Linked DNA regions of Bombyx mori. The protein of the gene in region 1 interacts with the protein of each later gene in a biochemical or structural test. Links are inferred from orthologs where the notes say so. Each region holds a gene or a part of one and is shown on either strand. Other genes may lie near its edges.

Region 1 (7,243 bases):
TAAATAACAATAAAACTAATTAATAATAGTCGCCGCGAAGACGACCATGGACCGCATACAAACGGGATTAAAACTAGAGGTGCACAGACACAATAGGTGACATTAAATAAAAGTGAAGAAGGGGGTGGGGTGGAGGTTCCGTGAAATGAAACACCGATCCTTATTGACCTAAAAATGAAGAAACATTTATTTTCAGTATGTCTTTTGTAAAATTTTATAACAGAATGAATCAAACGTGGTAAGATAATAACAGAGCGGATTTACTTTCCATTTCGATAGAATTAAGTTTTTACCAACAATAGAAATATAATAATATTTTATTAAGTCATTTACACAAATACAATTACAATGCAGTATCGATAAATCTAATTTATTCGTTTAACCGAGTTAGTTAAATTTTTTTAAACATTTATTACATTAATGAATGTACACGGAGCGAGCGAGCGAGGCGTCGCCTCGGGCTGGCTACTTGCGGACACAGAATACACATTTTTTTGGGATTTTCCAATGATTTTTTTTCTCACGTACTTTATAAATATATATAGTGTATGCATCGGAAGGTGCGGGCGCCGCGCACAGAGGCACGCACGCACACATATACACAAATATAAGTTAGGAGCCGACACGAGCCCGACACTTATACCATCACATTGCGACGCACACCGGACGTCTTCCCTTTGTACCGCTACAGTTAAACTTCTCTTACATAGTTAAATTAACGGAATACTTTAAATCTAAATAAAAAGAGGGGGCGGGGCGGGGGGCGAGGGGCCGCCCGCGCCGCCGCGCGAACTTCCTAACTGAAACGATGACAGTATTTAATTTATCGCAAACACTAGAGAAATGCAGGTCCAATACGATGCTAATATTGTGTGTCATGAAACAAAATGTATATTTAAATTCTCTGCTTTTTACACACACACTAGCCGGCGGCTCACTTCGACGTCATCATGGTGACGAACTCTGAAAACAGAAGCAGAACGCAGGCATTACAAGTCGCCCTGGGGCATCATCACGCGCCGCGGCCGCACGCGGACCCACCTCGCATAACGTGACGTGGCTAAGATAAGAGTGTTAACACAAAAATATTACACACAACGAAAAAATAACCGACAGTGATAGAGATGCACTAATAACAGCTATCGGACAGATCAGCGGAGGCGGTGAGTCCGACGCGGCGCGCGCTAACAACGTACCGGAACATAAACGTTACCTCGGCATGCCACTACAAGGGACTGTGGGAAATACCACCCTCTGACGTAAGCGCGACGCGGCGGGAAGCGCCCCTCGATATCGCCAGGTGGTATTTCTCTTGGAAAAACTTATATACAAATATTAGACGCATGCACCAATCAATAGGAAAGAGTCGACCGTGCCCCGCGCGAGACAGGATCGACGAACAGCGAGAGAGAGAGAGAGAGAGGGGGCGGAGAGAGGGGGACGGAGAGCGGGGAGCGGCTAACGTGTCCAAGGCAGGTACATGTAATGACGAGCAGCAAACCATTCAGATTAAGACTGGGGTATACCTATAATCGCACCGCACTCGCCGCACGCCGTCCGACAATCGCACCGATCGCTACACACTACAAGAGGAAATCGTTTCGAGATCACAGCGTTATCGTAGTCTTTTCTTATGGACACTAGTGATGCTAGTGATGCTAGTGTACTAATATCACGATTGCGGATGGTGCGCGAGCGCTAGCGGCCGCCCTCGCCGCGACCGAATATGATTTGGGCGAGTGCATGGAAGTCTGCAAGAGAGAGAACGCTCGGTCGGATGATACGGTCCACCAACTCTGGCCGGCAGTAGACGCATGCAGACAGACGCAGGCGGCACATGCGAAGCGCCGGCGGCCGGGCGGGCGGCTCCTCGAGCACCGCCCGACCGCCGCTTTCAAACAATAACTCAATAAATTAATCAACGTCTCGCTTTCAAAGAGATCAACGCGAACATGGTGTTCGTAAATCAAGTCTACACGACGCGTGGGATTACTGAGCAAAAATGATTTTACGAGAAGTATAATGTCGAGTCAGTTTATAAATAAATGGCGGAGCATTGGGGCGGGCAAGCACGACGGTTGGCGTTAGTTCGTGCGGTGGGGTCTATCGACATGCTGGACCGAGCCTCACTGCGCGCCCGCTTTACTTCGAGAGGTGCTTGCGTAGTACAACACGTCTAGTTGTATCTTTTCATTTCCGGCAGGGCCTTCATTACGTTTATTTCACATCAATAATGGCTACAATAACAGCGTAACGAAGACCCAAATCACATTTACAATTTGGGATCCGATACTACTGACATTTTTGAATAAAAACAAAGATCCCAAAATATTTGTTAAGCTGTGTTCAAAGCGAAAATCACACTAGACATTCGTACAAACAAAAGTTATACGTTTGCACGACTAATTAATGTATTCAAATTTACTGTGAAAATCACTTCAAAAAGCACAGCCTGTACATTCATTCACATACAAATGACAGACAAGCAGAGCAAAACTAACAAATAGGCGATTTCGACAGGTTTATGAATGTAAAATAATGCGAACGAAAACCATTAACCATTTCAAAGCGCACTATTCTGGAGCGCGTAATCGGAAATCATTTTTCAATAAACGGATGGAACACACTTAGCGAACCACCAAACTTGGATGCACTACAAGCAGGAACAAAGGGCACATCTATTCACTGGTTTTGCTCAGGTGTACAAGACTGGAAGCGTGAACACTACTACTACTCTGCGGAGAGCTCACCTTCGTAATTGACCTGGCCGTCGCCGTCGATATCGGCCTCGCGAATCATCTCGTCGACCTCCTCGTCAGTGAGTTTCTCTCCGAGGTTGGTCATGACGTGGCGCAGCTCGGCCGCGGAGATGAAGCCGTTGCCGTCCTTGTCGAAGACGCGGAAGGCCTCGCGGATTTCTTCCTCGCTATCCGTGTCCTTCATCTTGCGCGCCATCATTGTCAAGAACTCGGGAAAGTCTATCGTGCCGTTTCCTGAAATTCAACGATTATTAAAATTAGCATTATTGTGAAAATCAAAGTATGTACATTATGGCGAATCTAACGTTCAAAACTTCGTTGAGAAATCAAACATGATGGACAATATTATTGCGAACCATTGGTGTTTAAAATAAAACACTGTGTTCAAAGCGGATCGACAACAGATGCGCCCTGGAGTATTCCAGAGTCAATTTATAAAGATGTATGGAAGATTTCTACGTGTCCAGGTGTCCACAGTGATGGATTTATCGCGGCATAAAACAACATTATTAACACGTTAATTCGTATTAGTCGTTCTGTTGTCTTGTAAAAATACGCTTTGTGGGTAGTTTTAAAATATTAGGACGATTTGTGTGATTCAACGCAATCCTGTAAACTAGCGACTTGAATACGTTGTACGGAAGAAAGAGATTACAGAATATTATTAGATTGTGCTATTTATTGAGCAGTTTTAATGCAATTGTATTAATTGGGACTCCAAAACAATGTTCAGGGTCCGAGTAATGACTTTCGGGGAAAAAAAGCACGAGGCGAGAAACATTTTAAACAAAGAAACCCCAATTTTCTATAATGCATTAACATTTCATCGGTAGAAAACAAAGTGAAATCAGACGACACGTAACGTGTTACGATGTGACTCGGGACTTTCGCTAAGCAAGACGTGTTGTTATCAACAACTAGTTTTTCTTCGTATAATAAATACGAAAACAACACTCGGAATTACACTGCATTTACTTTTGCATTAAGAGTCAGTCTCAAATATCGTTGAAAAGGCGGTGTAATTTAGGATTAGTTTAGAGTTCGTTAACGGCAGCCCAAATATTACTTTTGGTGGTAGTTTAGTCAGACTTCCAATCTGTTTAGCTGGTGTTGAATGATAATCAAGGCAAAGAACGTGCGTTAGTTTCGAAGTTCAAATTGTTAGTCGATTCTAATGATCTTCAGATTGGAACATTAGATTGTATATTTTTGTTGGTAGTCAACAGTCTGACCAAGTACACTACGTACACTAGTAAATTGTATTTGGCATGTTCTCCTAGTTCGCTAGATGGAACTATATTTATTCTGGCAGTATATGGAGCTTAAAGATTTCGATCACGAATCATAAAATAGATCGCGTGGGTCGTAGTACAAAACAAATTGGACTTTGTGAATAATTTATGCACGTTTTAACACCAAACCATATCTATTACTGTCAATAGTTTTGAAACGTTAAATTATGAAGCAGTGTCTTTAAATAGCTACTAAAATGAGTACACCATTTCGTATTTAGAAAACTAGAATAGAAAAGTAACGGCTATTTAAACAACTCCGAAATATAAAATTTGAATACAGGATTTAAAGCGATAGATAAGTTGTTAGCACGCGTTTGTAGGGAGGTTTTAGTAATAATTATTTGTGTAGCGTTCGTTACACACAAGCAAAATAAACATAAAGGATCAAACATAGAATCGTACACCTAATTACATAATATGATAATAAATTGTAGTCAGCGGCTTGGCTCTGGCCCTGGCATTGCTGACGTCCATGGGCGATGGTAACCACCATCACCATCAGGTGGGCCTTATGCTTGTCAGCCTACAAGGGTAATAAAAATATATATATGATAATAAGCGTCATAAATAATTCAAACTAGTACGATCAGTTGAATATAAAATCGCGAAACTTGCGTTACTCAACATCAACAAGCTGTCGGATGCGTTTGAACGGGAAATCCAATAATTTATGAGCCCCAATAACCGCATCTGTTTATGCTCATTAAAATGTCTAAGTGAAGCTACAATATCTAATATTAACATGTCGAAACATTCCAAGAAACATTATTTTCTATTCTATAAAATCTAATCCCATAATCTTCGAATTATCATTAGACTACTCGAAATAATAATACGCAATTGTGAAAATTCAATGCACTTTGTTTTATGCGGTCGCTTTGGCATTTTTAAAACAATAATAATATGATCGGATGTGAATGTCAAGTTTAAATGATAAAACGTACACATTACGTTTTTGTCTTGTGGCAATGTTGTCCATTGGTGATTACTTATAACACTCAGTTTACCTAATGATGGCTATTGTGTACAAATAAACCAGATAAATTGGTGAAGATACGCGAATTGAAGCGTCAAAGTATCTAAAGTTATAATGGCGATTCCAGTTGTCTAGCTTTTTGATAGAATCAACATTTCAATGTGACAACGGTGAACGCTCGCCAAGCCGCGTTGCAAAAATAAGTGCAAGTTAAGTTTGGCTTTCTAATTCTGGTCAACCTTTGCGAGGCGGTTCGTTCGTGATCTATAAATACACGAGCGTTTCACACACTGCATCTTGCATTCCGTGTCTTGCCACCTGGGACACTACTGTCAGTTGTCAACCGTTAACTAATGACTACGTCGACAGGTTTACTATCGATCCGGTTCAGTATGAGAAACGGATTGATCGTGTGAATGATTCAGATACACATTTTCAAATGGATACATAGTAAATGTTTTGTAATTTATTACTGTGAGTCAAATATCCTTGTTATTTTGATAACATTAGTACAAACGCGAAAACAAGCCTCGAATCGAATCTTCCGTTGCATTTCAACCTTTCGAGTAGGCCGTTCTTGTATTTACATATAAACACAGACGGCGATGTGTTATGATATTTGTTTCAGTCTGTGTTTCTGTAGCGTGTGGGAGCAACAACGGTTCTGTCTCCTTGAACCCAGCGCCGATGGCGTCGTATTTATTATTTTTGCATGGTTCACACAGCATTCCGCGTCACTAAGAAGTTAGGTTTGTTTTGATTTCTGACACAATAAACATATCATCGAAATATTGCGATTCATATTAGGTTTTTACACTTAGATTATGAAAACAGTCATTACTGTTAATGATTATACTGATTGCGTGTATTTTATATAATTTATTACAAATTTTTCTTCTTCGAAATTTATCTCTTCAGCGTCAGGTATTGAGAGTATCTGCAACCGCGGTTTAAAACATTATTTTAATTTTTTTTTTAATAATTTTTAGTTTCATTATTAGCGTTGATAAGTATAATACATATGTATATATAACATTTTTATTAGTAAGTGAGTAGTTTGTTCAAATTATCAGTACATTTTACAATGGAATGCACATGTTATTTAATGGTCAATAAAATTTATTTTATTCTTCCTCAGAGAAGCAAGACCACATAGAACTTTAAATAGGTGCGCGGGGAGCAATTATAACCCTGGCGAATTCTAAAAGTACATTTGTAGTTTTTTTAACGACATTTCTAAACTTGTGAAAATAAGGAATTATTCAAGTGAATTCAATACTTGTTCAGATTCAAAGTATTCTGTTCTCTTATTCAGCATCTATTAAGGTTGTTTCTGTTTTGGGTTAACACAATTACAAATCAGATAAAATAATATTATCTACCAAAGTGATGCGACACGTGATTCCCATTAAAATTATGACAATACGAACCTTTGTTTCCGTCCAATGTTTGTAAAGCCACAATCCTTAAATACGACTGTAAAGTCAAAAGCATGGGGCAATTAAGCCATAAATGCCACACAATCAAATCGGTAATCGTAAACGCAGGTCAACTGAGGGTAAGCTCGATGGAGTCATTCGGCAACGGCGTGCATGGCCCATATAAACAGCGCGCCCACGCTTTAAGCCGGCACGTAAAATTTTCCCAGTTATAAACGTAGATGAACTCACACATAGCCTGCCTATACTGTCGCGATGAAAACATAATTCTAGATAATTCTAAATGTCCAATGCAATTTAAGAATTGAACGATTCCCGGCGGTTGTGTTATTAACGGAACCCATCGACATCATAACGTGAATGCACCACCCACCTCAAGACGTTAGCTCGAAGTCTCAATAGCTCTATATAACAGTTGTCCCACCCTTTATTTACGGTAGCAATAGACAGAATGGCAGTAACTACCCGTCCGTGATTCAATACGTCCTACTAACAGTAATTACACATTTTTTATTATATACGCGTTATTATTCCTACATCGTGGAAGTCAAAGGAATATCTGGTAGGGTATTTGTACACCTGCAGCATTGTCGCAACGCTTCATTCGATAACACCAAGCCCCTTATCCTATAAGGCCGGACCTCCAATTAAAATCGAGTCAGATTAATTAAATATTTTTATTACATTATTCGCGGTTGAGTTTTAAGATTGAAACCATACTAAGTAGTAAAAAATTACGTAATCAATGTTAAGCTGTAGCGATTAAGATATCGT
Region 2 (8,035 bases), on another chromosome or scaffold:
TAATACAATAAATATAATGAAAAATATCATATAAAACATGCTGAAATAAATCGATGATTTAATTCAATAATGAATCAGTCTTTGTAGGAACAATGAGAGGTCGCAAATAAGATTGTGTATAAAAAAAGAGATTTCACTTTCAACTCTCTGACCTTGTTATTGCCAATTCGTTAAATTAAAAGTTTGTTTTGTTGCCTTATTGAATTAGATCAGTGCAATGTTTAGAAGCCTAGACACAGTACAGCAGAGACAGGTAGGGTTGGTGCGGTAGGAAGCCATCGCCGGTAGGGTTAGCACAGCGGCGCGGGGCTCCCGCAGCGTCGGCGCCGGACTCCTACACTTCGCCCCATGTACACTACCCGTCAGGGTTCACTATTTTCATTTATTTATTTGCGATTACAGGGTAAAGTTTTAGTGACCCATCATGAAAGTAGTGTTAGATTAACCAAACACGTCTTTGTTATGGAGCACTTAGGGACTGTTATTTAAAAGATATAATGACATTTGTCCTCAGTACTGTTCGTACTTGTTTAGAGGTCAGCCGACCCAGTGAGGGTCATTGGGACAAGGACCGGCGCAGACGTCAAGGGAGCCCCACGGGGAGCGTTTGGGGTTCGCCCCCACTCAGTACCTGTTCAACTTATTCTCTCCGTTCAGTGCCTCCGCCGGGGGGAAGCTGTGCGAGATACATCACATCATTACAATCTCGCTCTACTGTCGGGTTTACCGACTTTAACTTTGAAGTTCAACTTCTGTTTACTGGTTCGAATGTGAACACAATTACTTATGTCGCTAATGTTATGGAAATAGCTCTCTGTACCTAAAGAAGTTTAACTTCTCTTTTGTTATCGACCGATAGGTAGAGCCAATACACATCGGAATGCTAACGCGGGACTCCAGAGACGAGGTTGAAAGTTGGGCCGGCCCTCTCGGCTCGCAACGGAGTGACACTTCTGTCCCTGTCTCGAAGGACAAATCCACGACGTGATGTTTACGGGCATCGGCAGTCGCTTAACATCAAGTCTCCTATCTACGCGAATAACAAAATATATATTCTTCATCTTTTAGTCAACGGCCTAATGTGCGAAGTGTCCAGCTGGAAGCTATGTACAGGAAGAGGTCGCACACCGGCTCGCGGGACCGTGACGGCTCGTCGACATGAGCCTATGTTGTTGTGTGGGGGAGGGGGTGGGGGCGCACCTGCGCAGTTGCGGCGGGGAGCCCTCCACGTGTCCGTTGGTCTCCCGGGCGAGGCGCAGCGCCATCTCGTGGTCCCGGCGCTCCTGCTCCAGCCTGCACACGACAGTCGCCTTAGTGTCGCATCACTATACTGTTTCATTTGTGCCTCGAGTTTTACTTTTATTGTTAGAAAATTGTACTTAGAACGTATATTCTGATGTAAAGAGATATAAATCTAATTTTTTAAGATTGTTTAGTTGAGATCTCCTTGGAGGAGCACCGTCTTGAACTGTCATTAGGTTTAGTGCTCAAACTATTTAAACTAAAATTAATTAAAGTTTGACGTCATCGTCAGGTTTGAGCCCCGTAAGCTCAACTACTAGCCCGGTGATGCTGACATGATCTCCCCAGAGTCTAGACCATCAACTTAGGTAGGAAAAAAAAGTTCGTGATCGTTCGTGAAAGACACAATCACAAGTGAAAGGCGCAGTTACCGGTCCCGGTCGGTGCGGTCCTGCTGCAGCGGGTCGATGACGTCAGCGGCGACGTCGGCCGGCTGCTGGTGACGCAGACGCTCCTCTTCCTTGCGCCGCGCCTCCATCTCCGCTTTCCTGGTAACCGACAACGAATATTCTGGATCAAGTGAAGCAAGTTTATTTGCTAACAAAGTTGGTCGTATATATTGAACCACATATGTACGTCATAAAGAATGACCAATCTAGCGGTCTAAGTTTCAGCACCACACAGAGAACAGAGGCAGGGAGCCCAGTGGACAGGGGCAGGAGGACCGGGGGCAGGGGCAAGGGAGTCCGTCGGGGGGGTTGGTTCATCTCGCAAAATAACAGAATGTACTCAGAGAGTTGAAACCCACAGCCTCCTGTTCTCCTCCTCCTGTCGGATCTTCTCCTGCTCGATGCGCTTCGCTTCCTCGGCGGCTCGGATCTCCGCTTCGATCTTGCGAAGTCTCTCTTGTTCCTCCCTGCAACGATAACGTTATCGAGTCAGTACTACCGCTTCACCAACACCTAATCCGGGATTCGGATGCGGGAACCCTTTAGCTGTTGCCAGCAGATTCCTCGAACTCATTTAGTACAGGTGTCAGTTTATCAATGACCTTCTCCTGCCTACATTATTGTGTTACGTGGTGGTATAGCACAGAGACGCTCGCCCTTTCACGCATAACGTTCGGAGGTCCCCGTTACACAGGGGAACAGCCGTGAAGCCGTAGCTCAATCCTCACACAGGAAGACACGTCGCGCCGATTTCGTTTACTTTTTTTTTCTACCTAAGCTGATGGTCTTGAGAGACCATATCAGTGTCGTCGGGCTAGTAGATAAGATCACGGGGCTCAAACCTGACCTTGTCACTAACATGAACCCTAGCAAGAGCAGTGCTTCGCAGAATTTACCACCGGATCGAAAACTGAGAAGATCCGGCGAGAAACTCAGTGGGTTAATTTACTCGTCGAGCCCTTCGTCGCAAGTGACTGGTTCGACGAGAACGATGACCGGTGCTTGAGGTACCTAAAAGCACCGTTACTGGATTGAGCCACTATGAGAGGGTTTTTGTGTCGTGCCGCTTTATCGAAAAGGGGTGTTTAGTAGTTAGATTAAGAAAAGCATAAGACGAATTTGCAAGTTAGTCGACAGATAACAGTTACTCTAACATCGGCGTCAGTGATGAGCAAGATCTAAGCGCTTTTATTGTCTCTGTGTGTCCGCGTAACGGAATCTTAGAACGTGATATCACCCATTTTAAAGCGTCGGATTGAGATTTGGCGCAATAATATTGCACCGCTACGATCAACGCCACCTGGCGTCACATAGCAGCAACGGACATAGAAATATGGAAATGTCCTAGAAAATTCGGGAGAGTTCCGTGTAATAGTGATACTTTGGATGCCGCGATTAGAATACAGAATAGATTACGTCACAACGCAACAATCTGTTGTCACATAACAGATGCGCTAAAAAGTCGACTCTTCCTCACTGTAGGGTGTAAGGAAGAATCGCGCCGGGGGGCGGGGGCACCGCGGGGGGCGGGGGTACCGCGGGGGGCGGGGGTACCGCGGGGGTCGGGCGGGGTCCTACCTGTTCTTCTGTTCGACTACGGCCTTCTGTATCGCATTCATCTGTACTTCGACTTCTTTGGACAGTGTGGCCTGCATGCTGTCCAGCTGCTCGCGGGACATGTGCTCGTTGTCCTGTTGGGAACAGTCAGTTAGTCGTCGGCCCGACACCCAGTACACTTCCACGTTACAAAATTTATTGATAATGAGTTATATAAAATTAAAATTAGTCCCATTAGGTTTAAATAGCAATAGAAAGTCTGCAGTCATGCATTGAGATGCGGACCTTGACGGCGCGGGCGGCGTCGTCCAGCCGGCGGGCCAGCGCGTCGAGCGCGGGGTGCGCGGCGGGCGGGGCGGGGCGCAGGCTGGCGAGCGCGCGCCGCATGTCGACCAGGTTGTGTCGCAGCGCGGCGAGCTGGCGCAGCGCGGCCAGGCGCGGGCGGTGGCGGCGCCGCACCACGTGCCCGCGCACGCACTTCTGGATCAGCACCAGGCACGAGCGCCGGTACACTATCTTATTCTTCACTGCAAAAGTACATTTGTATTCGCATTTTTTGTTTGTTCGACCTTTTTTATATCAGACCTGGTGTGGTCCTTCTACAGATTTCCTACGTCTCAGAGGCGCGCGGTGCGTGTGAGAATCGATGGCCGGACATGTTAAAGACCCACCCACTAAGCGACATCTGATCTCCGTCCGACACAAAGCCCGGGGGACGGCTCGGTACGCAGAGAAATGAGCTTTCCCTCTTTTGTTCCACCGCTCGCCTCGGCAGGGTGGTGGACTCGCGGAAGTTAAGCATCGCCTTCCAGGACGCGTCGGCAACTAAAACGCACCACAGTGAGTACTCACATTTGATAATGGAAAGCACAGCGAAGATGCTCTTCCTCCAGCGCGACCTGACGAGCCACGTCAGCACGTTCTTGACGACGGCCTGCAGCTCGTGCGGCTCGGAGCGCAGCAGCGCGTCCAGCTCGCTGTACTTGCCGGGGCGGAAGAACACGCGGCTCACGCCCAGCTTGAAGTCCTTGTCGGACAGCCCCAGGCTGTGCACCATCGCCTGCACACGCAGCACGCTTGCAATCGTTGTGACTCAAAGCTACCTCACGCGGCGGTGGGTGCGCGGGCGGCGCGTACCTCGCAGAAGGTCCGGGGCGACAGGCTGGCGAGCTGGTGCGGCAGGTGCGGCGCGTAGGTGTGGTGCAGGTGCAGGAAGGGGGCGCGCGAGGGGTAGCCGTGCTCCATGAGCTGCAGCGCGGCGCCGGTGCCGCTGCACTGCAGCTGCGCCAGCACCAGGCCGCCCTCGCCCGCGCCGCCCCGCATGGAGCCGTTGGGCTTGACGCAGCGGACGAACTTCGTGCCCTGCGACACAAGCGGCGTCACACGAGGCCTACGACTGCTGACGGGATACTGGCGCGAGACGTACGTTCTTGCCGAGCTTGTCCATGAGCTGCGCCAGCTGCGCCTGGAACTTGGCGCCGACGGACTGGAAGGCGAGGCGGCCCCGCGCCGGCTCCGCGCCCGCCTCCTCGAACAGCTCGCGCACGAAGGCGCTGTCCGACTCCTGCATGAGCACGCCCAGGGACGCGTGCAGGGCGTCGTTGTTCTTCTCGATGAACTGCCCCTGTCGGCGGAAGTCTACATTTAAAGGCCGACCGGTCTCTGTGTGCCACTGGACTGGGACACAGAACAAATCAATTGAATTTTTATTTAAATCGTTGTCGACTTGGGCTCGTGTTCGGACATTTGTGTTGTGCGCATGCCGTTGTGTGTGCGGGTGCGCGTGTGTGTATGTGCGTGCGCGCGTATGTGAGTGCGTGCGGGGGTGAGTGCGTTCGCGAGTGTGTACGTGCAAGTGTGTGTACGTGCGCGTGTATGTGCGTGTACGTGTGTGCGTGCGCGTGTATGTGCGTGTACGTGTGCGTGCACGTTGCTGTACGTGCGCGTGTATGTGCGTGTACGTGTGTGCGTGCGCGTGTATGTGCGTGTACGTGTGCGTGCACGTTGCTGTACGTGCGCGTGTATGTGCGTGTACGTGTGTGCGTGCGCGTGTATGTGCGTGTACGTGTGCGTGCACGTTGCTGTACGTGCGCGTGTATGTGCGTGTACGTGTGTGCGTGCGCGTGTATGTGCGTGTACGTGTGCGTGCACGTTGCTGTACGTGCACGTGTATGTGCGTGTATGTGCATGTACGTGTGCGTGCGCGCGCTGACCGTGCTGTAGCAGACGGCGCCGGCGAAGTGTCGCAGCAGGAAGCCCTCGTGGTCCCGCAGCTCGCGGTGCGCCTTGAGGCGGGAGGAGCGCGGCACGTGCAGGCGCTCGCTGTGCGCGCCCAGCTCCCGGTGCACGCACTCCGTGAAGTGGGACGGCTCCGGCTTGGGCAGCTTGGACTCCTCGTCCAGGTAGTGGAATATGCCGTGGTTCTTGCTCTCGATCAAATCTGCAAACGACGCGTGTTGAGTGATGTGGATGCGGCGACGAGGGCGAGGGGGCGGCGCGAGGGGGGCGGCGCACGTACCGATGCAGTCCTGGTTGTCGACGTACTGTATGTGGGGCACGTTGAGTCCCTCCCGCTTGTACAGCTCCTGCTCGTTCTTGAGAATGCGCTCGTTGAAGAACTGCTGCAGTTTCTCGTTGCAGTAATTTATGCAGAACTGCTCGAAGCTGTTCATCTCGAAGTACTCTGCGCCAGAAGAGAACACGTTACGAATACGAACGAGATCCGGGAGTTAAGAAACAATAAATCAATCCCAAAACTAGTTGATATTCAGGTGTACCGAAGCCGGCGATGTCCAGCACGCCGACGTAGTAGGGCGCGGCGACGGCTGGCACGGCTCGGTTGACGCGGCGCACCACGTGCTCGAACACGCGGCCGTACACCGCCTTGGCCAGCGCGTCGCGGGCGCTGCACGCCTCGTGCGGCTTCAGCGGGACCCTGCGCACAGCGGGACGACTCATTGTAGGGGCGGGCGCGGGGGCGGGTGCGGAGGCGGGGCGGGTTGGGGGGCGGCGGTACCGACATGATGGCGGTGCCCTTGTGGCCGGCGCGCGCGCTCTGCATGAGGCGGGACACGAGGGCGCGGCGCAGCATGTCGGCGGGGACGTGGAAGAGGGCGGCGGCGGCGGCGAGCGCGGGCTCGGCGTGTGCGTGCACGGCGCAGCCCCCGCGCGCGCCGGGCTCCTCGTCGAACGTGATGTTCCCGAGGTGCAGGGCGCCGGCCACGGCCCCGAACACGTCGCGCTTCTCCTCCTCCGACAAGCCGGCGCGACTCAGCGCCTGAATGAAGCATTACTTAAGCTTAATTTCTTTTCAAATAAAATATCATATGATTTACATGAAAACTATTTCACTAGGCACTCTCAGATTGTGCAATCGGATTTTTTAATAATTTTCTAATGTCGGCTGCATTTCTGAGGAGGGACTCGTCCTCCCGCACTACCTGATATCATTTCAATTTATCAATTAGACCACGCGGCAAATCACCCGTTCTGTGGAAACCCTTCGTTACCTAGAATGATTTTAATTGACGCTGGAAGGATCCCGCGGTCTACCCTGCAAGCAGAAGCACGGTCCCCTCCGAGTACGGTGCAGCAGACACCGGTGTGGACTGCTTGCACGTTCCAACCAGCTCGCGTTCCAGAGACACTCCCCGAGAAATCACTCTTACGTCACCGACACAAGGAAAACAGGTTAAACATTCACCTGATTAAGTCTCTGGAAATCTTCATAGTCGTCAAGTATGGGGTCCCGCAGCCCGCCCTTGGCGAGGTGATCTTTACTCTTGCGGTCGGCGCTGATCTTCTTTTCCGAGTCCGGCGTAGTGAAGTACTGGGTGCAGCCGCTCTTGAGGTACTGTCGGGAACAATGAGCGTGAGCAGCTGTAGCTGTGAGGGGGGGCAGGGGTGGGTGGGGGGCGGCGGACTCACGTAGTAGTCGTCTGGCTTGGTGAGGCGCAGGTAGGTGCGCAGGGGGGGCGGCGCGCCGGCACACAGCAGGTAGAACACGTGGTAGTTCCGCTCGGCGGGCGCCTGGCGACACACGCGCGAGCGCTCGAGCAGGTAGTGCGAGATGTGTCCGCCGGTGACGCTGCACGCGCCGCTGAAGTGCACCTCGATGAACTTGCCGAAGCGCGAGCTGTTGTTGTTGCGGGTCGTCTTCGCGTTGCCGAACGCTTCGAGGATAGGGTTCGCTGAAAACATCATCTATTCTATAATAATATATAAATCTACAGTGGTTTTTATGGATGTTCCGTTATAACTACTGAACCATGCATCCGATTGACTTGAAACTTGGTATCCATGTAGAAAATACATGTACTTAATGGATAGGAATATTTATATGAGTGTTGGACTCCCTACACCAGTTGCGGGGGCGTTAATGATAAGACTCTGTGGGGGGGTGATAAATAATAATGTTAATTTTAAATGCCCAGCGAAGCGGACGGGTACAGCTAGTTTATTATAAGTTTGGAAACCCGGGAGAGGGAGTCTGGGTACAAATTTTAAAGTAAAACTTTTATTACATCGTCTCAAACTGTTTCGTCTGTGTGTTGCATGTCGCGTGACGGTCGGCCGCGGAGTAGGGATAAGGTGAAAGACGCTCGTCAGAGCAGCCAAGGCCAATATGGCGGCGCCTATAGTTCGCAGCAGCTGACCGTGTAGTGTATTATAGATTATTACTCATTTGTGCCAGTGCTCCACGCTATTTTGTTTGTTTTTGTCAGTGTTTAATGTAAATGTTGTTTGTCAGAGTTAAATGTCTGTAATGCGAAAAAAGTTTCACTTTT

The links. The genes of interacting proteins can lie anywhere in the genome.
Region 2: the proteins of calmodulin (region 1) and myosin heavy chain 95F form a complex in vitro, tested with the Drosophila melanogaster proteins (2 studies listed by BioGRID). The link is inferred for Bombyx mori from reciprocal best matches to the Drosophila melanogaster genes Cam and jar.

The regions. Positions count from the first base shown.
Region 1 is NC_085129.1:674,518-681,760, reverse strand, and holds the end of calmodulin, read right to left. Parts: intron 2,994-7,243; coding exon 2,751-2,993; intron 964-2,750; coding exon 935-963; 3' UTR 636-934; downstream 1-635. UniProt on the Drosophila melanogaster protein: Calmodulin mediates the control of a large number of enzymes, ion channels and other proteins by Ca(2+). Among the enzymes to be stimulated by the calmodulin-Ca(2+) complex are a number of protein kinases and phosphatases.
Region 2 is NC_085115.1:731,314-739,348, reverse strand, and holds part of myosin heavy chain 95F, read right to left. Parts: intron 7,439-8,035; coding exon 7,176-7,438; intron 7,102-7,175; coding exon 6,952-7,101; intron 6,526-6,951; coding exon 6,269-6,525; intron 6,184-6,268; coding exon 6,026-6,183; intron 5,932-6,025; coding exon 5,767-5,931; intron 5,689-5,766; coding exon 5,462-5,688; intron 4,873-5,461; coding exon 4,675-4,872; intron 4,611-4,674; coding exon 4,386-4,610; intron 4,309-4,385; coding exon 4,101-4,308; intron 3,776-4,100; coding exon 3,534-3,775; intron 3,383-3,533; coding exon 3,270-3,382; intron 2,159-3,269; coding exon 2,051-2,158; intron 1,791-2,050; coding exon 1,674-1,790; intron 1,294-1,673; coding exon 1,201-1,293; intron 677-1,200; coding exon 632-676; intron 1-631. UniProt on the Drosophila melanogaster protein: Myosin is a protein that binds to actin and has ATPase activity that is activated by actin. Together CLIP-190 and jar may coordinate the interaction between the actin and microtubule cytoskeleton.